Elephas maximus indicus: one gene and its partners. The protein of the gene in region 2 purifies or fractionates together with the protein of the main gene of each other region. This does not show direct contact. Links are inferred from orthologs where the notes say so. Each region holds a gene or a part of one and is shown on either strand. Other genes may lie near its edges.

The links.
Region 1: the proteins of ZC3HC1 (region 2) and CUL1 purify together in Homo sapiens (affinity purification with western blotting; 3 studies listed by BioGRID, with this or other methods). This does not show direct contact. The link is inferred for Elephas maximus indicus from reciprocal best matches to the Homo sapiens genes ZC3HC1 and CUL1.
Region 3: the proteins of ZC3HC1 (region 2) and PLK1 purify together in Homo sapiens (affinity purification with mass spectrometry; 3 studies listed by BioGRID and IntAct, counting the BioPlex papers as one, with this or other methods). This does not show direct contact. The link is inferred for Elephas maximus indicus from reciprocal best matches to the Homo sapiens genes ZC3HC1 and PLK1.

What each region holds. Positions count from the first base shown.
Region 1 is NC_064826.1:1,461,270-1,468,709, reverse strand, and holds the start of CUL1 (cullin-1), read left to right. Parts: upstream 1-4,395; 5' UTR 4,396-4,534; intron 4,535-7,406; exon of another isoform or gene 7,407-7,440. UniProt on the Homo sapiens protein: Core component of multiple cullin-RING-based SCF (SKP1-CUL1-F-box protein) E3 ubiquitin-protein ligase complexes, which mediate the ubiquitination of proteins involved in cell cycle progression, signal transduction and transcription.
Region 2 is NC_064826.1:20,160,402-20,168,188, reverse strand, and holds the start of ZC3HC1 (zinc finger C3HC-type protein 1), read right to left. Parts: upstream 3,063-7,787; 5' UTR 3,017-3,062; coding exon 2,871-3,016; intron 1,237-2,870; coding exon 1,125-1,236; intron 1-1,124. UniProt on the Homo sapiens protein: Required for proper positioning of a substantial amount of TPR at the nuclear basket (NB) through interaction with TPR.
Region 3 is NC_064830.1:83,877,959-83,885,975, forward strand, and holds the start of PLK1 (serine/threonine-protein kinase PLK1), read left to right. Parts: upstream 1-4,988; 5' UTR 4,989-5,109; coding exon 5,110-5,517; intron 5,518-6,257; coding exon 6,258-6,426; intron 6,427-7,178; coding exon 7,179-7,323; intron 7,324-8,017. UniProt on the Homo sapiens protein: Serine/threonine-protein kinase that performs several important functions throughout M phase of the cell cycle, including the regulation of centrosome maturation and spindle assembly, the removal of cohesins from chromosome arms, the inactivation of anaphase-promoting complex/cyclosome (APC/C) inhibitors, and the regulation of mitotic exit and cytokinesis.

The DNA of each region.
Region 1 (7,440 bases), about 19 Mb from region 2:
GGAATCCCATCCTTCACAACTTTATCCATAATCTGCTATGATCAAACTATAGTCACAAATGAAGTGTCTGTAGCCTACTATGCAAATGAATTATCTGTGGCCTACTGAGAGAGGATTGGTCAACTTGTGGTGCCTGCTGGAGGGGCAATGCCTTGAAATTGACAAGGAGTTGCAGACAGAAGTCGCCAACCCCACAGAGGTTTTTTGAGACAAGACAGAAAAAGTAGAAAACGGGAAGCAGGAAGATGCAAAAAGGAGAAAAGCAGCAGAGAGAGAAGAAGCAAAGAACCTTCTAAAGGATCCATATGGGTCAAGGGCTGGAACACTGAAGACAGTGACAGGCCCGGAAGAGGCTCTGTGGCAGAGCCAAAGGCAGGAAGGCCTGTCCTCAGGGACCAATAGGAGGCCTGTTCTGAGGGAGTTGAGAAGAAGCCTGTCCTGAGGAGCCAAGAGGAACCTTGTCCTGAGATGGCCAAGAAGAGGCTTGTCCTGAGGGGACCGAGAGGAGGCCTGCACAGCCCAGAGGGAGTGTGCACAGCAGAGAGGTCCTGCTTGCTTGCACAACCCAGAGGAGCTGAAAGAGCTGTCCTGCACTAAAGGCTCTGCCTACATGCTTCCTAATCCTGATCCCAAGTTGTACCCTACTTCCTTAATAAACCACTTAACTGTAGGTATGGTCTGTGAGTTCTTTGTGGCCATGACAACAGATTTTCGAACCCAGATGAGAAGTAGAGAGTGCAGTGGGAGGGACAGCTGGTATCAGAACTAGTAAAGAGGTTGGAGTGTGTAGATGTCTGACCTCCACCTCATAGGGATCAGTCATGGGCTGATCTTGATTCTCATTATACACCCCCTGAAGTTAGACAGGTACTGATGCTACTACTCCCACCATTTTACACTCTGGATTCAAGAAACAATCTGTGATGGAGAGGGAAATATGGAAGGAAAATAAATTGCAATGCCAAATTATAAACTCTTCAGTGAAAGAACACCTTATCTAGAGATGAGGGTGGAGTAGGTTTGGAGGGTCATAGAAAGCTTCCTGGACAAAGGATTTTAGGACAGTTTTCTGGAACTCTGAATGCTCGCCAGTTCTAGGTTGAATCATTTGAAAATGGCTATTTCATAGGCCCCAACTTAACTGAATGTAACGATGGCATTTAAGTCCCTCAGGAAAGACCTCAAATGTCTACTTAATTCATAACTATCTTACAGTAGTATTTTCTGACTTCTGGATCCCAAAACAAGAGGCATAGCAGTGGCAATATGAATACCTGAAACGAGAAAAGTTAGAATTTTAAATCCTCCCATCTCCTTTCCTGCATTCCATTCCATTCCTAAAGGTTCCTCTCCCAGGTCCACTGGCCCCAAGGCTTTCAGCTTGCTCTGAGACCCTCAGTGTTCTCTCAGACTTGCCCAAAACTTCCCATTCTTTAGGTGGGACTGATCCATGTTAGAAAGAAGACAACCCAACTCAACTAGTTAATGCTAAATGTGACTGAATGACTCAAGCTCTGTTACCCTCCTGGAGCTATTTTGATTTTTAGGAGAGGTTACTGAAGAATCTTTGGTGAAAATCCAAGCAATAAAAGCAAGGCCTTTTGTGAAGGCCTTTCTGTATGCAAGCCATTTATAAGTCAAGAGTTGAGAAAGTGGGGGGCTACCTATCCTATGGTTCCACAGTCGGATATATTTTGTGACTGTGGTAGGAAAACATCTGCTTCATATTTTACATATGTTGTTGTTAGCTGCTGTTGAGTTGGCTCCAACTCCTGGTGACCCATGTACAACAGAACGAAACACTGCCTGGTCCTGTGTCATCTTTGTGATTGTTGGTATGCTCATGACCATTGTTTTGGCCACCGTGTATTTTGAGTGCCTGACAGCCTGGGGGCTCCACTGGGTTTTCACTGGCTAATTTTCAGAAATACATCACCAGGCCTTTTTTCCTAGTCTGTCTAAGAAAAGGAAGTGAGGAAATAAAAAACACCACGTATCTACAGTGGAAAGTGTGGTCCCCAGGGAAAAGCCTTCCATTTTACCTCCAATCTTACCAAGTGCCCAACAAGAAAACTGTTAAAATACACCTATGTTTTCCTTACTAGATCATTAGTAATGTAGGCTATCCCCCAAGCATTTTGGAGGATCATCTATTTTGGCAATAAGAATGTATAAAAGATGTTGAGAAAAGACCACAGTTCAGTAGGAAGAGCCAAATACCCTGATGGGATGTGTCTTACAAGAGACAGGTGGTTACTCAGGAAGTAGTGAATGGAGGTAGTGCCTCTGCTCTAGGCCGAGGGCTGCTGCCCAGCATGGAACTAGAATCTCTGCAGTGTTTTAGTTTGGGAAGTCACATTCTTCACATCTCTTAGTCAGATGACAATTTGAAATCCTTCCTTGCTTGTTCACAGAGTTAGGTTGTGAGTGACGGCCCTAGGTATGCGGCTATCCATGCCTTCTCAGCCTCTGCCACATATCGGGTAGCTACTTGGGCTGCCAAAGTTTATATTTAACTTGAGTATTTCAGGTAGGGAGTATGACACTTAATTTCAAACTAATGGGATTAACTACTTCAGCCTGCATGTTAAGAAAATACTTAGTCACATCTCATACTATACATACATGCAATCAAATTTTTAAATTCTGTCTGTTTTTAATTTGGTTTTACAAAGATTAATAATAAAGTGAATCTTGGTGAAAATTTGCCAAAAATGATTTGGTTACAGGACTTGAAAAGGGAAGCTTGGTTTGGTTCTATTTTAGAAATGATCAAAAAAAAGAGGTGCAGATAATCCCAGGCTTTTAGGTCCTGATTCCTAAGGCCTGCAGGTGTAGGACACTGAGAATCCCACACTTCGGTGTGATGTCTGGGCCTCATTTTCAGGCCATCTCCCACAGCTGACTGTCTTACCTGCCCATCAGGATACTACATTAGGTTTGCCTCCGGTGCATTTATCTTCCATCCCAAGAAGCCTATTGATGGGATGTCTGTGTACGTGATGTCCTTGTATGATATGTCTGGTGGTGTACATCTGTGTCTGTGTGGTGTGATATGGTGTGGCATGATGTGCATGTCTGTAGTGTATGTGTGTGTGTTATATTTGTGTGATTGTGTGTGCAGTGTGTTTGTGGTATGAGGTGTGTGTGATGTGTCGTGTATGTGTCTATGTGGTGTGGGATGTATATTCTGAGTAGTGTGTGAACATGAGAGATGTATGCAGTGTGTGTGTGTGGTGTTTGATGTATGTGTCTGTGTAGCATATGTGTGGTGTGACATGCATATGTCTGTGTGAACATGTGAGCTATGTGTGGTGCATTTCTTTATGGTGTGAGGGTGGGTGTGCAGTGTACCTGTGTGGTGTGTGTACATGTATGTGAAGTGTATCCATGTGGTGTACACACATACGTATGTGTGGTGAGGTGTGTGATGTATCATGTGGTGTGTGAACATGGGAGGTATGTGCAGTATATGTGGTGATGTGTGTGTGGTGTATGTGTGATGTGGCATGTATGCCTGTGTGAACGTGAGGCGTGTCTGTGTGCTGTATCTGTGTGTGGTGTGTATCCACGCAGTGTATGTACATGTGTATGAGTACTGAGATGTGTGACGTACCTGTGTGGTGTGTGAATGTGTGAGGTGTGTCTGTGTGGTATATGTGTGATGTGGCAGGTATGTTTGTGAACATGTGAGGTGGGTGTGTGTGGTGTGAGGGTCTGTGTGTGGTGTGCATCTGTGTGGTGTGTGTATATGTGTGACCTATATGTAGTGTGGGGTATGTGTGTACATACGTGATATGTGGTATAAAGTGCGGTGTATACTTGTGCGGTGTGTGTCGTGTGTCTGTGGTGCCCGCGCACACTTCCCGCCCCCTCTTTGCCCCCACTTGCCCCACCTGCGGAGACCGCGGCCCTCAGGGCTCAGTGTTGTCGGCGTCCAGGACCGGCCGTGGGCTCTGAGGTAGCGAGACGGCGGCAGGCCCGGCGAGGACCAGGTGCGGCGGGAGGAGGCAGGAGGAGGAGCCGGGCTGAGGAAGAGGAAGAAGAAGAAAAGGTGAAGGAGGTGAACGGAGGAGAAGGCGGAGCCGAGCGGAGGAGGAGACAGAGCTGGGCCGAGGAGGCTGAGGAGGAGGCGGAGCCGAGCCAGGGGGGAGGCGGAGCCGGGCTGAGAAGGAGACAGCCGGGCCGAGGAGCTGAGGAGGAGACACAGCCGGGCCGAGGAGGAGGCGGAGCCGGGTCAGGGAGAGGCGGAGCCAAGCGGAGGAAGAGGCGGAGTCGGACGGAGGAAGCCGAGCGGAGGAGGCGGGGCCGGGCTGAGGAGGAGGCGGAGCCGAGCTGAGGTGGAGGAGGAGGAGGAGGAGCCGAGCGGAGGAAGAGGCGGGCGGCGCGGCGCACGGCGGGCGGGGCGGCCCGGGAGCAGGACGCGGCCAGGCCTCGGCGGGACGGGCTTCGGGCCTTGTCTGGCCTTCTCGGGGCCGGGCGGGCGGGGAGCGCGGACGTCGCGGGGCCGGCCGGCGCAGGGGACGCGGACGCGGTGAGTGCGGCGGCGGGCCGCGGTGTCGCAGCGGCCGGGCCGAGGCGGCGCCGGCGGAATGGCGGCGGCGGCGGGGACGCGGCGCGGCGGCAGGGGCCTGAGTCAGCGCAGCGGCTGCGCGCGGCCGGCGGCGGCCGTTATGGGGTCACAATCGGCGGCCCGTTCTCTCGCGGCCCGGACGGGCGGCTGCGGCCGAGCGCGAACCCGCGCTGGGACGAGGCGGGGCGCGGTGACCCGGTGACCCGCCGTGAGGACCGGCCTGGCCCCTCGGCGCGGTGGGCGCTCGACTCGCCGGCCGCCGCGCCGCGCCTTCCGCGGGAGCTGGGAGCGCGGCGGCGAGCGGCCTGGCCGTCTTGGAGCCGCGTTGCGGAGTGACGGACGGGAACCGAAGCGGTTTCCACTTAGGCCGCGGCCCGGGCCTCCGTCCCGACCCCGCGGAAGCTGCGCGGGCTGCGGTCGCTCTGCGTCGGGGCCTCGCTGCGTCCCCGAAAGCCCGCAGGGCGTGTGGCTGTGTGGCCGGTGCGTGTGGTGCCGGCGAAGTACACCGTGTGTCGGCGGGGAGGCGCCGGGACCTGAGGCTCGCTTTGTCCGGGAGGTTTTTGAATATTAGGAAAAATTTAGTTTGAAGTTCTGTTTATTGCTCTGCATGGACAGTCCACATAGTTGCATCGCATTTCAAATTCCGAAGCTGGTGAACGCAAGGTGGCCTGGCGTTAACTCCACTATGCCCATGTTTGGAGGTTTTGGAGCGTGTTCCCGAAGCTTCAGAGGGGTGGCTGGATTACTTTCTGAATATGTTAAACTTTTTTCCGTCGCTGGTCTCATCTTTTAAAAGCTGTTTTGCCTGAAAACCCCTAAACCAACCAAGCTTAGTATACTGGAAGTTTTCACCCATTTCTCCGGCCCACTCTCAGAGCCCCTAGCCCTAGCCCTTGTAGGCAGCCCCATTGCTAACTTGTACCCCATCAGAAAACTGAGGGACACTCGCGTGTGTGAGCCGGTTATGCACAGCGTCGCAGAGTATTAAAGCAGGTTAGGTTCCTGATGCTTAATGAGCACCTGGTGATAATTAGCCTCGGTGATGAACACAGCTTTATTTCCCGTATGTTTCAAACTGGATTCCTTGAGGGCAAGGAATATTCCTTATTTATTTTTGCATCCCAGATTAGCACAGAACTTGGTCAAGGTGGTACCTCAGTGTTTGGATGAATGTTCTGAGTAGTTCTACCTGTTATACCTATTGTTTGACCACTTGCCCTGATTTTGGTTACAGAAAACACCCCAATTACACTGTTCACGAATGCAAGCTTTGTTACTGTTATTGCACTGTTATTGAATTTGCTGTCTTTTTCCTCCATCCTTTCTTTTTCATTACCTCGTCCTTTCCCCCTCCGTACCCCAGTATCTAGCCCAATGCCCCAAAAGATATGCCCAGGTTTTCTTTACCTGTGGAAATCAAGCAGGTGCCAAGAAAACAGTTTGTGAAACTTTACTTAGCTTTTTTCCCCTTCAAAACTAGATTTAAGGTGTCGAATTTGTTTATCTTTTTGTGAGTTTTTTTTTTTTTGAATCATTTTTTCCCCCAGGCTAAATATTGCACTTTGTGTTTGAAAATGAAAAAAGTAGCCTGATAGTTGAGGCTCTTCCATGTTGGAAAGATGAGGCAAACCCGCTTGTGCTACTACAGAGTCCGGGATGCGGCCTCTGATTGGAAAGACCCTTCTCAGGTCCTTGGGGATCTTTTTCAGAAGTTCACTCCCAGTATGCCCAGTCATAGACAGTCTGAACACACTAGTCTTTAAAATGTCTAGAATTACTTGACATTCTTCAGTTTAAAAAAATGAGGGCCCCAAAAACTTGTGAACGTGTTTGTATTTTTATTCTTTGCTGTTTTAATTCTCCGTAGGTCCCATCTACCCTTGACAATTGAGTGGGTCAGCCTGGAATAAAATGCCTTTTGGGGATTGTTAGCTTCATTTTAAGCTTGTCTTTTAGATATTTCTAGAGAAAAGAATAATAGTTCTAAGGATCAATTCTAAGTTCATCTTGATTTTTAAGCTTATCTGGTAGTTTTAGTAAAGTGTGTTTTTTTGTTTGATTTTCAAGATCGAAAAATGAGCATCAAATGAGGAATAAATCAAATTTGGGATTTTAAGCTCCCTGAGGAGGTTAAGCTCCTAGTTTGTAATATGTGAATTTTATTTAGTAACAAAATTATGACACTTTTAGTGATTTTCCTGTGTTTTATTCACTCATAGATTTTTCTAGCTCTATATATAGCTGTGTGTTGTTACTAGCTTACGTATATGTGTGGTGTTTATTTATTCATTTATTTTTGCTTAGACGTAGAACATTTTGCTTGAGAGCAAAGACATGGGGTCTAGTCTGAGCTAAACTTTGCTGAGCCTGTATTTCCTCATTTGTAAAATGAGTTGGTTTTTAATCGCACTGTTTAAGATTTCTTTAGGCCCTCAGAGTGTTTGGCTTCTGTGGGAGTGACATAACTTTGAACTTCAACAGCATTTTGAAAAACTGCCTTATAAAATATAATCCACCTTAATCATGACTGAAAAGCAGAATTGTGAAGCCCAAGTTTGATAGCAATTTAAATTTTTTCCTTTGTGGGAAAACTTGGATCTAGGAAGCTTACCTCTCCTTTCCCTGCTTCCACCCTACTGCTGTCCAGGTTCCCAGGATCCCCTGCCACCCTCCCTGCCGCTGTGGCTCATGCTTTCTCCTGCCTAGAATATCATCTCTCTTCCGTTCCCTTAAGTCCCTGAGTGGTGCAAGCGGTTTGCGATCATCTTCTAACATAAAGGTCGGTGGTTTAAACCCACCCAGTGGCTCCGAGGGCGAAAGACCTGACTGTTTGCTGTAGTAGTAAAGATTACAGCCTAGCAAACCCT
Region 2 (7,787 bases):
GCTTCTGCAAAAGCAAAGTGCACCAGACAGCTTCTAAAAGGGCTCCCAGCAATCCCTGCCTGCTGCTATTCCCAGCCTTGTGTAATCCTCTCCTCTCTGAGTGTGGACTGGACGTGACTTGCTTCTAATGAACAGAATATGGTAAAAGTGATGGGATGTCACTTCTGAGATTAGATTACAGATTAGGTTCTGGCTTCTGTCTTACTCTATGGCTTGCTCTGATGAAGCCAATCACAGTGTTGTAAACTCTCCCCATGGAGAAGCCCAAGTAGCAAGGCACTGAAGGAGGCCTTCAGCCAACGATCAGCGTGGAAGTGAAACCCTCAGCCATGAGGAAATGAGTTCTGGCAGCAACCAAGCGAGCGAGCTTGGGAGTGGATCCTTCCCGAGGAAAATCTTCAGATGACTGCAGCACTGGCTGACACTTTGACTGCAGCCTATGACAGACCCTGAGCCCTATGGTTCAGCTAAGCCAAGCCTGGATTCCTGATCCACAGAAATTGTGAGATAATGTGTGTTGTTTTAAGCCACTAAGTTTTAGAGTAATTTTTTTTTTACACAGAATAGATAACTAATACACAAAGGAAAATCCAGAAAGACAAGAAATGTACACAGTTAAAAAAAAAAAAAAAACAACTATCAGGTTTGGGTACCAAGAGTCCTAGGATATAATCCTGGCTCTGCTATTTGTTAGTAGGTTGATCTTGGGCAAGTCGCATGACCTAACTGTCATCTCCCCTGTAAAATGAGGATAATGCTAATACCTATTTTCATAGGTTTAAGGTGAAGATCAAATGTCACAATATATGTGAAAACGCACTATATATGAAAGTTGTTATTTCTTCTCCTCTCAGGCTTTTAGGTTCTCCTTCTATAAAAATAAAGGTTAGATAATCTCAGATGTCACTTTGAGGGATAACATTTTATGATACTGATTTTTGGTAAAATTTTTTTTACCAAGTTTTGATTCTTAATTTTAAAACATCAGAGTAAGTGGTGTAATACCCTGGAGGAATAACAATTCCAGGAGCAGGCAGGAAGCTCAACTTAACGTGAAGTCAAAAAGGATATGGAACTCCACAACAACAACAACAAAAATAAATTGTAATTTAAAAAAAAGATATAGAAAATGTTTCCACTCTGCTAAAGAAGGCTTCTTTGCTTGTAGATTCCAACGGAGGTTGTTCTGCCTGGGGTGATCCATTAACTGACTGCAAGGTGACAGATGTGTCCTTCCTAAAGTAAAGTGACAGACAGAACTGTTAGTAGTAATCCTTTTATGGTACCACTCTGCCCAAGAATTTTTTATCTGGCTTCTCTCGACATTATACTATCAACCACATCAACAGTGGATCTTAACATTCCTGAAAATCTTTTTAGTTATGCTACTCCTCAGATTAATATTTTCTATGGTTTTATACTATTTGCTAAATAAAATTCAAATATTTCAGTATGGCATTCAAAACTGTTTACAGGTTGGCCATACCTAACTTTCCAGCAGTTCCTACCTCTGGAGTGCTCCACTAATCCTGTACTAACAAACTGTTCTCCTACCTCACTCTTCCCAACAGTGTTTTGCATAACTTTAGTAAACGCAAAATGAGACTCCAGGTGACAGTCATGCATTATACAATTTGTACTGCCTTAGATATCAACTCTTTTAACAGCAGAAAAAAACAATTTTCTTATTTCTACCTGAATCAGCCCCTGATACACACCCCTACCCTCCCGCCAAAAAAACCTCAAATCAGAGTAAACATCTTTAGGAGATTTCATGAAAGAATTTCAGAGAAAAAGATCAGCAAAACAATTTTCTCATTTCTAGTGAAAGACATTTCAATGGCAATGGGCTGGGGGGGGGGGAGGATGCTGAAAGACAAGAGTCATTTTAAGAAAAGCACATTAGACCAACACCTATTATATGCAAAAAAAACATATATATGTATTTTTTACTCTAAGAACCTTTCTCAGACTCAGAGAGAGCCTCAGGAAAGCGTGTGGTTCTTGGAAAAAAATCAAAGGATGCATAAATTTAAATGGGATTGTGGTGGTGCAATGGTTAAGAGCTTGGTTGCTAACCAAAAGGTCAGCAGTTCAAATCCACCAGCCGCTCCTTGGAAACCTCATGGGGCAGTTCTACTCTGTCTTATAGGGCCACTATGAGTCGGAATCCGCTCAACCGCAACTAGTTTAACTGAAATTTAGCATTCCTTTCAATTACGAATGAAAGTAAACGTCAGAAGTATTAGCAGGACCTATTAATTTGTCATCAATAGAAATCAGATTTTTCTCATCACATTATGGTTGCTGCGCATGTTTTAAAACAGCGTTTATGTGCATCACTACGAAATTATGGGAAATAACAGACGGGCTGGGTTAACAGACCGACTGGTAGGTATTACTTAATTTTTTAATAAAGAAGCATGTTACTGTAGCTCTTCTTTTACTGTCTTCATAACTGCATTCCAACGTCATTGACTTCCTTTAAAATTCTGTGTATCTTACTTTATGCCTTTAAAAAACATTCCGAGAAGGGGTTCATAAGCCTCACCAGAGTGCCAAAGGGGTCCGTGGCACAAAAAAAGGGTAAAGAACCCCTAAATAAGAGAAGTTAGGCGCGCACATTCAGTTAGCGGTTCTCTTTCTTTCTTTCTGTCCTCCAAATAACTGTCTATGGCAAAATTCCACCCCTCGTGCGGGGTCCGGTGGGGAGAAAAAAAAGCTAAGTGTAGCAACCCCAGTCCCTTTCCGATCCGGGAAAACGCCGTCCCAACGCCAGAGGCGCGGACCAGGGCGACCCCCGAGGCCTATGTTCCCCAATCTCTCTCCAACCTGCCGGCCCCAGTCCCAGAGTTGACTCGCGAACTCACGCATCCGCTCCTCCCTCTTCTGGGGCAATCCCCTCATCTATCAGCTGCCGGATTTTCTGGGGGGTCCCTTCGGGGGAGCGAACAACCGCACCCCAATTCTTTTCCACCCCCGCGACAAAAGTTAGCCCCTCGGTGGGCGCCGCCATCTTGGTCCGTTGCCGAGTTGCTTCCCCGCCGGTTTGAACGCTCAGGAACTTCCGTTCTCGACGGTTAAGATCCGCCTCTGACACGGTTGCCAACGCGAACCAGCAGTCTGACTGTAGACCCATCCCTTCCGTTTTAGAAGGGAGGGCTAAGTAAAGTACTACTTTCATGAACGAGCATATCTGGGCTGACAGCGGATTTATACAGCGATATGCTCCAAATTCAGATGGGATGAAGTCCAACTTTAAAGTAATTAATATTAATATTTAGTATTAACTAAAGTAATTCATTCCCAAATTACTTTTTTTTTTTTCAAACGAGTAAATACGAACCCTCGCTTGAGAGCAAAAAGAGTGGTTGCATTTAGAACCTGTGGCATTTGACACTATTGAACACTCCCTTTTTTGTTCTACAAATATCGAGTGTGTCCTGCTGTTGGTGCGGGAGCCCTGGTGGCTCAGTGGTTAAGAGTTATGTATGGCTGCTAACCAAAAGGTAGGAAGTTGGAATCTGCCAGCTGTTCCTTGGAAACCCTTTGGGGCAATTAATTTTTTTTTTTTTTATAGGGTTGTAGTGAGTCGGAATGACCCCACAGCAAAGGTTTTGGTTTAACTAATGTGCTAGACGCTGCACTGGGTGTTGGCAACGACAGCAGTGAACAAAGGATACATAGTTCTTAGTGGACATCAAGCAAATAGATTTTCCTTTGGTTTTTAAATTATGATTATGTAAGTGCTATGAAGAAGACTTAGTGACGGTATAATTGGAGGACCTAATTTAGTTTTTGGATTGAGAAAGTGGTGCCAGAGCCGAGATGGATGAGACTGCAGGGAAGACATCTGCACAGAATTTTCCAAAGCCTCAGGCTGGAAGGAGTTTGTCTCTCATAATCAACTGAAAAAGAAGACTGCTGGAACTGCGCAGTGTGCAAAAGGAAAAGTGGGACCACCTCCTGCCCTTCTTAGCCTCCTCCCGGTCTCCAACAAAGTTCCGACTCACCAGGACCTGTCATCTACTGACCGTACCACCTTACCACTGTCCCTAACACCACCCCCCAACCCTTTGTTTCTTCTTTCATCATAACCAGTTGTCATGGAGCTGGTTTTGACTCAGGGTGACCCCATGTGTGTCAGAGTGGAAATGTGCTCCTTAGGGTTTTCAATGGCTGATTTTTCAGAGGTATATTGCCAGACCTTTCTTCCAAGGCACCTCTCGGTGGACGCCGACCTCTGGATTAGCAGCCAAGCAAGTTAACTGTTTGCACCCCCTAGGGACTCTTCAGCCATCTTAAATTCATTACCAATTATTATCATCATTCCTTTGCAAAATCTGAATGTAGATTGAGAATTAATGTTAAGGAATTGTTACCCATATAGCTATCGGGCTAAAATTGGTACTATTAAAAACTTTACGTATTATTATCATTGTATCATCCATTCCCACTAATTAAGAAGCAGTTCTTCAGAATCTGCTTTGTGTAGTAAATATCTTAATTCATATTGTACTTTATTGTTTGCATCTATTTATCACAATTCTTTGTTGTTATTGTTAGATGCCAGCGAGTCAATTCCAACTCATAGCGACCCTATAGGACAGAGTAGAACTGCCCCATAAGGTTTCCTAAGCTGGTGGGTTTGAACTGCCAAACTTTTGGTGAGCAACTGAGGGTTTAATCACTGCACCACCAGGGCTCCTTCGCAACTCCAGAGGCGGTATATCAATTACAATTGTATTGGCTTCAGGTAACAAACCCAATTTAACCTAAGCAAGAAGGGGAATTTTGTAGATAGCATTTCTTAAAATTAAGTAATGTTCATTTCACCTTTTTATTTTCTTCATACTGTTTTAAAAGGGAAAATAAGCCCCCTCCTCAATGTTGACAAGTTTTTTTAAATCAATACATTACTTAAGTGCATAAAGTATTTGTCAACTCCTTGTGCTTATACCCCCCTCCCCCCCAGAAAAAAAAAAAAAAAAACCTAACCTGTTGCTGTCAAGTCAATTCTGACTCATAGCGACCCTATAGGCCAGAGTAGAACTGCCCCATAGGGTTTCCAAAGAGCCCCTGGTGAATTCAAACTGCCGACCTTTTGGTTGGCAGCTGTAGCTCTTAACTACTATGCCACCAGGGTTTCCCTTATGCTTGTAAAAATCTTAAAATCAGAACAAAAATTTTAAATCAAACAACTATAAACTCAAAGCAACTCACAATAACGACATTAATTTACTGTGATGAATGATACTGCTTTGCTGAAATAAAATCACCAATGTTGAAGAAAAGTAGAAAAATATAGCCTCAGTTCAGGTTCTCTGTTTAATCCACTTCTGTGATTTAACTTTCAGTAATATTAATGCACGCAGAAAATGCCTGTTTACATAAGCGTGCCGTACCAAAAACACAAAATGGTTTTAATAATTTCAACACCTTGTTTATTAGTTCAGGATTATTGGACCTAATACTTCACAAAAACTTTACCAGGAAGCATTTCTCTAATGTCATTTGATACCTTCATAAAACTGTCTTGTTCGCTTGCAGTTAAGTTAGTGTTATTTAAATCTGCATTAAGGGAGAATCTGAACAAATTATTGCTGCAATTGGGAACAGGAAGTAATATCTGGACTTTGAGTTCTATTATCAGAGATGTTGAAAAAATCTTATAGTTTGAGTGCAGAGCTTTCTAGCTGATTGTCAAAGGAAATCAGTACTCAGATGACTCATTCACACCATTTAGAAAATGATGGGCCGTTAGTCAGTTTTCTTTTCCAACTTCCACTTTTCATTGGGCTTGTAACATTAGAGGCACTGTGGAATTTGCTTTTGGACTGTCTGCTATGATGTCACGCAGCCTTCATCTGGTACAAGTTTGCCCCTTCTCATTAGCCTGCAACAATTAAAGTAATACATATATTACTCCATTGGAGTCTGTCATTTTCATGATGTCAACAAAAAACTAAAGTTATTAAATAATGTAAAAAAGCAAAGTTTAATTATACTCCAGTCTTTCAGTTATAAAGCACCACTACAAGAGTTTTGTCTTCATAATGGATGTTTATAAACCCATGTGGCTTATTGCCTAAACAATATTGCATTGAAATCAGAGCCTAAACAGGATTTCCAACCTTTAGTCATATTGCTCTCAAACACATACTATCGTGTGACTTGATAGACCTTCCCTGTAGCCGGCAGGAGATATTTGGGAGGAGGTCTTTTCCCTGAGGCTGCTGCATATAGGTAGGTTCACCCATGATGGTGGACAGACTTCAGTGCAGTAAAACTTGTGAAAGCCAGAACTCGTGTAAGGCAGAAACCTGTCAGAAAAGGAAAACTGAGATACTTTTTGATAAAAGCGATAGAAAAGTGGTAAGACTGCACCGTGAACGGCAGAAAACTTGAGACCCCTCGAAAAAAGGCAGTCTGGGAGAGTTCTGGCTCTCACAGATATCACTGTATAAATCCTCAACCCAAGTCACTGAAGCTGCAGTGATTTCTGAAAACATTAATCTGATTGTGTACCATCTCTGCTTAAACCCTTCAATGGCTCCTTGTTCTATTAGGATTCAATCTAAACTCCTCGATGAGGCTTACCTTTCCAGTCATCTCAAGCCCAATTGTTTAACTCCTTCCCCCCTCTACCAAACAATCTCCGTTTTACCTTTGTATAGCAAAAGCCCAGGGTTGTTTTTTCCAAACCCCAAAAGGAAATTAAGACCTTCACTTCCAAAGCGACACAAAAACATGGACGCTTTGAGATTAGCTTTTTTAGAGAGGGGATCGTGGGAGCAAACACAGTCCCTGGGTGGGCAGTTGGAACTCACCCAGCAGCACCTGGCAACCTGCTTTGGTAATGCAAACAGCCAAGAAAACCCCATGGTGCAGTTCTATTTTTTAACACATGGGGTCACCACGAACCATAATTCACTGGCAGCAGTGGGTTTGGTATGGGCTCGGGGAGCAAGGATTTGCCTTCAAAAATTCACCAGGTCTCCTACACAGCTTCTTCCCTCCTTCCGGGATTATTTTGAAGCAAATCCTAGACAGCATGAAATTTCATTTATGAACATTTCACTATACCTCTCGAAAAGAGAAGAATACCTTAAAAAAAAAAAAAGGCATCCACGATCCCTAAAAAAAAAATAATTCCTGAATATAATTCAATATTCAGTCCAATTTCTCATTAAAAAAAAAGGAGTTGGTACGTTCCAATCAAGGTGTCAATAAGGTCAAACATTGTATTTGGCTAGTATGTGTCTTGTTGTGTACCATCGAGTAGATTCAGAGTCAGTGACCCCTTGAGTCAAAATAGAACTGCCCCATAGGGTTTTTTAGGCTGTAATTTTTTTTTTTTTTTTAACTTTGTCTGAGCATATCGCCAGACCTTTCTCCTGGTGCAGCTGGGTGGTTATGAACTACCAACCTTTCTGTTTAGCAGCCAAGAGCTTAACAGGTTGCACCACCAACCTTCCTCACAATAAGTTTTTTTTTTTTTTTTTTTTACCAACGCTCCTCACAAGTCTCTTAAAACTCCATTAATACGTTTTTTTTTTTAAGGAGCTGGTGGCGCAGTGGTTAAAGTGATCGACAGCTGACGAAAAGGTTGGCGTTTGAAACTACCAGCAGGCTCCGCGGGAGAAAGCAGTCTGCTTCCGTGGAGATTTACAACCTTGGAAACCCTATAGGGTCGCTATGAGTCAGAATTGACTCCGTGGCAGTGGGTTTTGGGGTTTGGTAATACGTAGGTGCCCCTTTCCTCCTTCTCTTCCTTGCGATATAAT
Region 3 (8,017 bases), on a different chromosome or scaffold from region 2:
TGGTTGACGAGAGCCCAGGTGTTCCTAGCCATGTCCTGACAAGCCCTCAGCCATTCTCCAGGGCAGATTGGCATCAAACAAACCTGGGTGGTTGCTATGGGTGGTGAGATCCAGCTGGCCAATCTTTTAGGGATGGAGACTCTATTCTGTGGCACTGCAAAGACCCTGAAATGGCAGTGGCAGTGCTGGGACCATGTGTCCAGAAGCCTGTTTATTTCAGAACTGGTATCAGCAAAGTGTCCTGCCAGTTTGGATCACTTCCCATAAATCCATGGTTACTGAAGCGCTTCTGGAGCCTTCAGTGACAGGGTTGTGCCTTTGTAGATCTTATAATTGCGGTTCTTTGGGGGTAGGAAGGTGGGGCCCAGTCCACATGCTACACAGAGAGAGAAGGTACCATTCACTCATTTATTCATTTAACAAGTAATTATTGAGCCACTGTTGGATACCAGGCACTGGCCTGGGTTCTAGAGATACAGTGGAAAATAAAAGCCAGCTTTTGCCCATAGGGATCTTGCAGTTGAGTGGGGAGAAAGCCAAGCAAACAGAACATAGAGTTCTCTGATGGAGGCCTGAGGCGCCCGTCTTGAAAGTCACCATAGTGGTGAGGAGTGTGGGCTCTGATCTCAGGCAGATCAAGTCCCAGCCCTGCAATTTACTAGTCTTGTGACTTTGGGCAAGTTAGCTCACCTCATGAAACCTCAGATTTCTTATCCATAAAATGGGGAAGGGACTGTTAGGGTGATTTAAATGTATTCACACGTGTAAAGTATGAGTATAGTGTCTGGTTCAGGGTTACCACTCAATAAATGGTAGTTAAATTACTATTAATATTGGGAAATGATATACCTAGAAGGAAACCCCTTATATTCTCCATTCTTATATATTTTTAATTTTTTTTCTTAATTTCAATTTTGGTGAAAATATACACAGCAGAACATACACCCATTCATCAGTTTCTACATATTCAATTTAGAAACATTGGTTATGTTCTTCACATTGTGTCACCATTCTTGGTGTCTCTACCCATGTTGTTTCACCAACATTGAGTTAGACTCACTACCCACTAAAGTTCTCATCTATGCTTTAGAGTTACTACTGGCAGTTTGATCTCATGTAGAAAGTTCTTTAAAAAAGCACAATGGTCATGGTGAACATCCCTTACTCACTTAGCTAAACAGTTGTTTAGTTTAAAGATGACTTCAGAGGATAATTTTGGTTCACGGTTTGAAAATTTTCTCAGAGTGATAGATTCAGGGTTTCCTCCAGTCTCAGTAAGCCCAGTAAGTCTGGATTCTATAAGAATATACAATTCTGTTCGACATTCCCCCCCGTGATGGTTAATATTGTGTGTCAGCTTGGCTAGGCCATGATTCTCAGTGTTTATATGTGATCGCTCCCATGATGGAATCTACTCTGAGTGGCCAATCAGTTGAAAGGGAGTTTCTGTGGGGATGTGGCCTTCATCCGAATATAAGGAGATGTTCTGGCTTTTTGCTCATTCTGGATTCTCCAGCCGCATTCTGTTTGTCTGACCTTTTACTCTTGGGACTTGAGCTATCAGCTTATCTGCAGATCTTGGGATTCGTAGATCTTCACAGCCTGAGAGCGGGAGTCCCGCTCTTCAGCCTGCCTATCTTGGGTTCACCAGCCCCAGCGGCTACGTTAATTGAGAAAAGCCTCTATTCTGATCCACAGACTGGGGACATTCCAGCCTCTATAGTCTCGTGAGCCTTTTCCTTGATATGAATCTCTCTATATAAAAAAAAAAAAAAAAAAATTTTTTTTTTTTTATATATTTATACACTTTACTGGTTTTGCTTCTCTAGAAGACCCAGGCTAAGACACCCCACTTTTGATCAGGATTCATCTCTTGATTCCTTGATCAAAACGTTCAGTAACGGTAGCTGGCACCATCCAGTTCTTTTGGTCTCATGGCTGAGGAGGCAGTAGTTCATGGAGGCAGTTAGACCTGCAATCATGTTCCTGTCCCGATTCCTCAGTCTCCTTCTTCCTCTGCTGCTCCATTTTTTAAAAAATTTTAAAGTAAAATTAAGAACATCTTGCCCTTTATAATTGGTCCGGTACAAAGAAGAGTTGGTGGAAAAGAACTCATTCTTCCTTGTTTTGCATCTATAGGGTGCTAGGCACTTAGTACAAAACATTTAATCCTTCCAACTGTCAAAACAGTAGGGATTTTTGCAACCCATTTTACAGAGGAGGAACCTGACATTCAGAGAATTTAAGTAAATTTGCCCAACATCACACAGCTAATAAATGGCTGAGTTGAAATCAAAACCAAGTCTTATCTGGCCTCGAAGTCCATGCTCCATGCAGCTTCTCCAATACCCTGGGCCTCCAAAGCAGTTGGCTCTGAGGACTACACTTACTGCCTTGTTGGTTAACCCTTTGCTTTCCTTAGGTTTTTGCTGGTGGGTTGTTCCCCTCTGACCTGGATCCTGAAGTGAGAAGAGTTGGCACAGGGCATCTTGCTTCCTTGAGGAGAGCAAATGAGCTGGTTCTGGATCTCCCAGTTCACTGGGCATTAGGAACATAGGGCATGGAGAGGAACATCTTTCAAGAAAAGAGACACAGGAATGGAATCCATGTCCTTTCTGGCTCTCAGACCTTGGGCCTGTGGATTTTCTTGGTCCTACCAACTTGACTTTTTTCAGCTATAGTCTCCTCAACCTTTCGTGTCTCTTGAGTGTGGTTTTTGTTTTCCCATGGGAGCAGCAAGAGCCTGAGGAAGCAGTAGGGACAGGAGAGGGGGAGAATAAGGAAATATGAGAGGCCTAGGAACTGCCCTGGTGGTACCGTGGATACAGGGCTTATTTTAATTTGCACCTAAAGGCATAACTGAGATCCGTACTGCAGGTTGGTCTCACCCTGAGGCCTGGGGTCCCACTGATAATAATTTTGCTGTAAGGAAACCTTAGCCAAGGGCCAAGGGGGTAGACTGTGCAGAAAAGAGTTAACACAGCAAGACCTGAGAGTGCTAGCCTCAGAAAGCCCTGTTTGCAAAGCTGGCCCCTGACTGGCATCTAGGACCTTGAATTTTGGGAGGGCTGTCACCATTCCCTAAGTGATAAGGATGAGTCACTGTATCTAAACTGTTGGGGCAAACAACATGTTTTATGCTGAACACCTGCTTTCTTTCTGGGAGTCTGAAGTTTTGGTATGTACTAGGCAAAGAGTGTCCATGTGACCAACCCCCAGTAAAAACTCCAGACACTGAGGCTCTAATGAGCTTCCCTGGTAGACAACATTTCACACGTATCGTCATAACTTATTGCTGAAGAGCTAAATGCATACTGTGCAACTCCACCTGGTTCCCTCCGGGCTTTGTCCCATGCCCCTTTTCCCTTTGCTGAGTTCGCTTCATGTCCTTTTGCTGTAATAAATCATAGCCATGAATAAAAGTATATGCCAAGTCCTGTGAGTCTTCTAGCAAATCATTGACTGGGAGTGGCTTTGGGGACCCCCAACACAGGGCCCCAGGGGGGCTTCAGGGGTGTTGGTAATGTTCTCTTTCTCCGTCCGGTTGCCAGTTACATGGGGTGTGTTCAGTTTGTGGAACCTCATCGAGCTGTAAGTTGTGATACGTGCACTTCCTCTATGAATATATTAAACATAAATAAAAAGTTCAAAGAAAAAAGGTGGTTACGCAGGATTAAAAAAAAACTTTTTTTTTTTTAACTTTTTATTCTGCTCATTACCCCTTTCACCCCAAGCATTGTGTTGGGAGCAAGACATGGAGTAGAAAAGACAGCATCATTGTCATTGTCGCCTGGTTTAATTGGGAGGCAGGTAAAGATGTGCTTACAAGATGGTTGATTCTTGCAAACTTTATCAAGGACATCAGAGGGTGCTAAGGGGCTACAGAAAAGGGGCTTCTAACTTGGGTATATGGCCATTCCAGGGTTGCCACTCACATACCTACAGAAGCCAGACAGGCAAATGGGCAAAGGCGGAGAGGTGGGAACTGGCAAACTGGGAAGACATGCAGGCCTACTGTTGCTTAACTTCTGGGTTTTTTCGGGAAAAGCCACAAATGTGATTTTTTTTTTTAATTTGAGCTCTCGATTTTTAAATCCTGTAAATGAATTCAATTTTTAAAAAGTGGGGAGGCCAAACGAAATACCCCTGCTGGCCAAATCTGGCCATGGCCTGTCGGGTTGCTAGGCATTCATCCCATCAGCCATTCCTCCCTGTGACCAACAAATTGAGCGTACACTTTTTTTTAGGCATTGGGATAGCAGGGAGCAAGCCAAACAGCTTTCTTGCATAGTGGGTACTGGGCTTCTCAAACTAAAGTGTGTGTAGGAATCACCTGGGCAATCTTGTTGAAAGGTGGCTTCTGACTCAGGAGGTCTGGGGTGAGGCCTTTCTACCAATGCTCAGGTGATGGTGATGCTGGGTCCCTGGACCAGACTTTGAGTAGCGTGGCTCTGTAATGCAGAGGGGCTCAGGAGCAGCTATTTATTTGGAGGGGGCCTAGGGGACTTGCTGTGAAGGTACATTTGCCTGGCAAGCATTCTGTTTTTACGTAGTTTATTTGGGGTGGCTTGGTAGAGAGCTGATGACCACGGAGGCGGGTGCTAAGCTTGTCCCGAGCTACCCCTTGGCTCTGCCAGGTCTCTACTCTTATAGCGCTTACGTTGTGGTAGGCGGGGTGGGAATGGAGGACGGGGCAGGGGGAGGGGTGGTAAAGGAACGTGTTAGGAAAAGCCTGGACGACGTGCATGTGAATTGCAGGAGCTCCCCCAGCTGCCCCCGAACGGGAGACACCCTGAACTCCCCTCCGCAGGCATTCCCAAGCCGAGTTTCCAAGGCATCCCACGTGTGTGCTGTCCGCGCGTCCCTCCCAATCAAGTTTCCTTCCCTGCTGAGCGAAGGTTTAAAGGCGGCGGCTTTGCAGAGCGCTCCCATGGTGCCGCGCGGTGGGCGGGTTTGGATTTTAAATCCCCGCGGCCAATCAGTGGCGCGCAGGGTTTTGTAACGTTCCCGGCGCCGCGTTTGAATTCGAGGGGAGCGGAGCGGAGCGGAGCGGAGCGGTGCGGAGCGTCTACCCAGACCCTGGTAAGCCCGCTGAGCAACTTCGAGAGCATGAGTGCGGTGGTGACGGCAGGGAAGCTGGCACGGGCACCGGCAGAGACCGGGAAGACCGGGGCCCCGGGAATTGCGGTTCCCGGGGCTACGGCGTCCGCCCCGCCGGCGAAAGAGATCCCGGAGGTCCTAGTGGATCCTCGCAGCCGGCGGCGCTATCTGCGCGGTCGCTTCCTGGGCAAGGGAGGCTTTGCCAAGTGCTTCGAGATCTCGGACGCAGACACCAAGGAGGTGTTCGCCGGCAAGATCGTGCCTAAGTCGCTGTTGCTCAAGCCGCACCAGAAGGAGAAGATGTCCATGGAAATATCTATTCACCGCAGCCTCGCCCACCAGCACGTCGTCGGCTTCCACGGCTTTTTCGAGGACAACGACTTTGTGTTCGTGGTGCTGGAGCTCTGCCGCCGGAGGGTGAGGGTCTCTGACGGAGGATTGCAGTTGCTTGGGGGCCGGTGTTGGGGCGCTGGGGGCCCTGAGCTGCTGGGAAGGACTTCCTGGGGAAGGAGCGCCCGGGACCCGCAGCTGCTAGGGAAGGGTTGCTGGGAACCTCTAGGTGGGGCAGGGGAAGGTCTCGGGTAGGGGGTGCTTGGCACTTGAGGCTGCTTGCGTAGGGGGTTAAGTGGAGCCTGAGTTTTGTTGCTGCTGGGGAAGGCAGCTCCTGGACGCGAGGTGTTTGGAGAGGGGAGAACTCTGGTAGTGAATAAATACTAGGGCCCCCAGAGTTCCTATGGGAGGAGCCCTGGGTAAAGGGCGCTGGGGACCTGGAGCTGCCGGAGTGGGGCTGGGGAGGAACAGAAGGGCTGGAGCCAGACTTCGGAGCTTCCAGGGGAGAGAAAGGAAAGAGTACTGGGGACTCTGAGCTTCGGGAGTGGAGCTGGAAGAGGCGTCCCAGATAAGGATCTTGGGAGGAAGGCGCTACTGGGAGAGAGTGCTGTGAGCTGTAATAGCCAGGGTTAGGGCATGGGTCCAGCTTGGGGTTGTCCTGAAGAAGGAATGCAAGAGGGGATAGGAGAGGGAAAGAATCTGTCAAGATCCTTCCCGTATACCTTTGCCTGCCGCTGGGGGTCCAGGGTCCAGTCCTGGGCTGCCTTTCCCTGGCGACCCCACATCCTCAGTGCCACCTCTCCGTTCCTCCTCCTACTGGGGCCTAGTCCCTTCTGGAGCTGCACAAACGGAGGAAAGCGCTGACAGAGCCTGAGGCCCGCTACTACCTGCGGCAGATAGTCCTTGGCTGCCAGTACTTGCACCGAAACCGTGTCATTCACCGGGACCTCAAGCTGGGCAACCTCTTTCTGAATGAAGACCTGGAGGTGAAAATAGGTGAGGTGCTGGGCCTGTAGGGGTGCCCTGCACCACTAGAAGCGGGGAAGAAGGATGAGGAAGTGGAGGGAGGGAGGAAACAGGAAGAAGGCAAGGGAGGATGAGGTGATGGGAAGTCTGAGCTGTTGATTCCCTCTAGAGTCCCTCTTTAGCCCAGAAATTTAAAACAAAGGGCCCACAAGCCAGTATCTTGCCTGTAAATGCATTTTGTGCCCCTTCACAGTATTTTTTTTTTTTTTTTGTAAGAATTAGAATTAGTTTTTTTCACTTGGGAGGCTTGACATAAAAATTTGGATTTGGAGCTCCTTTTAAACGATTAGAAGCACCAGCAACACAGGGACAGCATTCCCTGAGGGCAGCCCTTTTCTGGGCTGAAAGCAGCTGTCCCCTTTAGAATCCCTCTGGTTTGCCACAGTCCCTACCCCTCCCTATTACTTCCTCAAACTTACCAAGCATCAGTCATGAGGTTACTTGCTTGATCCCTGTAGGTGTTTGAGTTTTGCTGTCCCTGTCTTGTTCCCTTTTAGAAGCATAGCCCTCCTTTTTATGGGGGACTGGGGGAACACTGGGTGGCATCATCCTGGGGTCAGCAGATGGGAGGATTCCTGGGCAAGCCTCCCTGGGTGCAAGGAGTAGAGACTTGTGGGAACAAATGACTGTGGGGCTTGATGGTTGAATCTGAACCAGCTGTCTGCATTGACAGCTGGCAGAGACTGGCATCTGAGCATCCCCTCTTCCTCCTTCTGTCCCAGGGGATTTTGGACTGGCCACCAAAGTTGAGTATGACGGGGAGCGGAAGAAGACCCTGTGTGGGACTCCTAATTACATTGCTCCTGAGGTGCTGAGCAAGAAAGGGCACAGTTTCGAGGTGGATGTGTGGTCTATTGGGTGCATCATGTAAGTTGGGAGCTGTCTCAGGACCCATCTGGCCTCAGTAGGGGCCCTTTTGGGCATCTTACCTGGCTGACCTTCTGGGGACACTTCCCCTTATGGAAAGGCTGTTCCAACGGACAGATGTTCCAAAAACAAACCCTAATTTCCCTATCTTGTTGCTCTGTAGTATTCTGTAAGATTCCTGCAGCCTGGGCCATGAGTCCAGGAAGGGGGAAGGGGCACCAGTTGGCATGTTTCCATAACCTTGCTCTAGATCCTCACTACTCCAAGTGGGGTCCACAGACCAACAACATCAGCATCACCTAGGAACTTGTTAGAAATGCAGACTGTCAGGCCCCAGACTTAATGAGTCAGAATCTGGAGTTTAACAGAATTCCCGGTTGATTTTTATGCACAATAAAGTTTTAGGAACACTGATCTGGAAAGCAGCACTGGGTGAGAGGAATCAGGCCAGGTGTTAGGGCTGGCAGGAGGGGGTTCCTGTGGTCTGTCTGGATCAAGACCATCAGGGAGGAGGCTGGGTGGTGGGCAGAGGTGTGGGCCTTCTCAGAGGTGTTAGCTTTATTGTTGTCATTGTTGGCCTGGGTACTAGAGAGTTAGAAATGAGTTGTAGCAATGGCTTTCATACTTTGCAATAGAGCTTTTTTTCCAAATGAAAATGTCAAGCCTTCTCTTAAGTGTAGAAACTACTAAATGT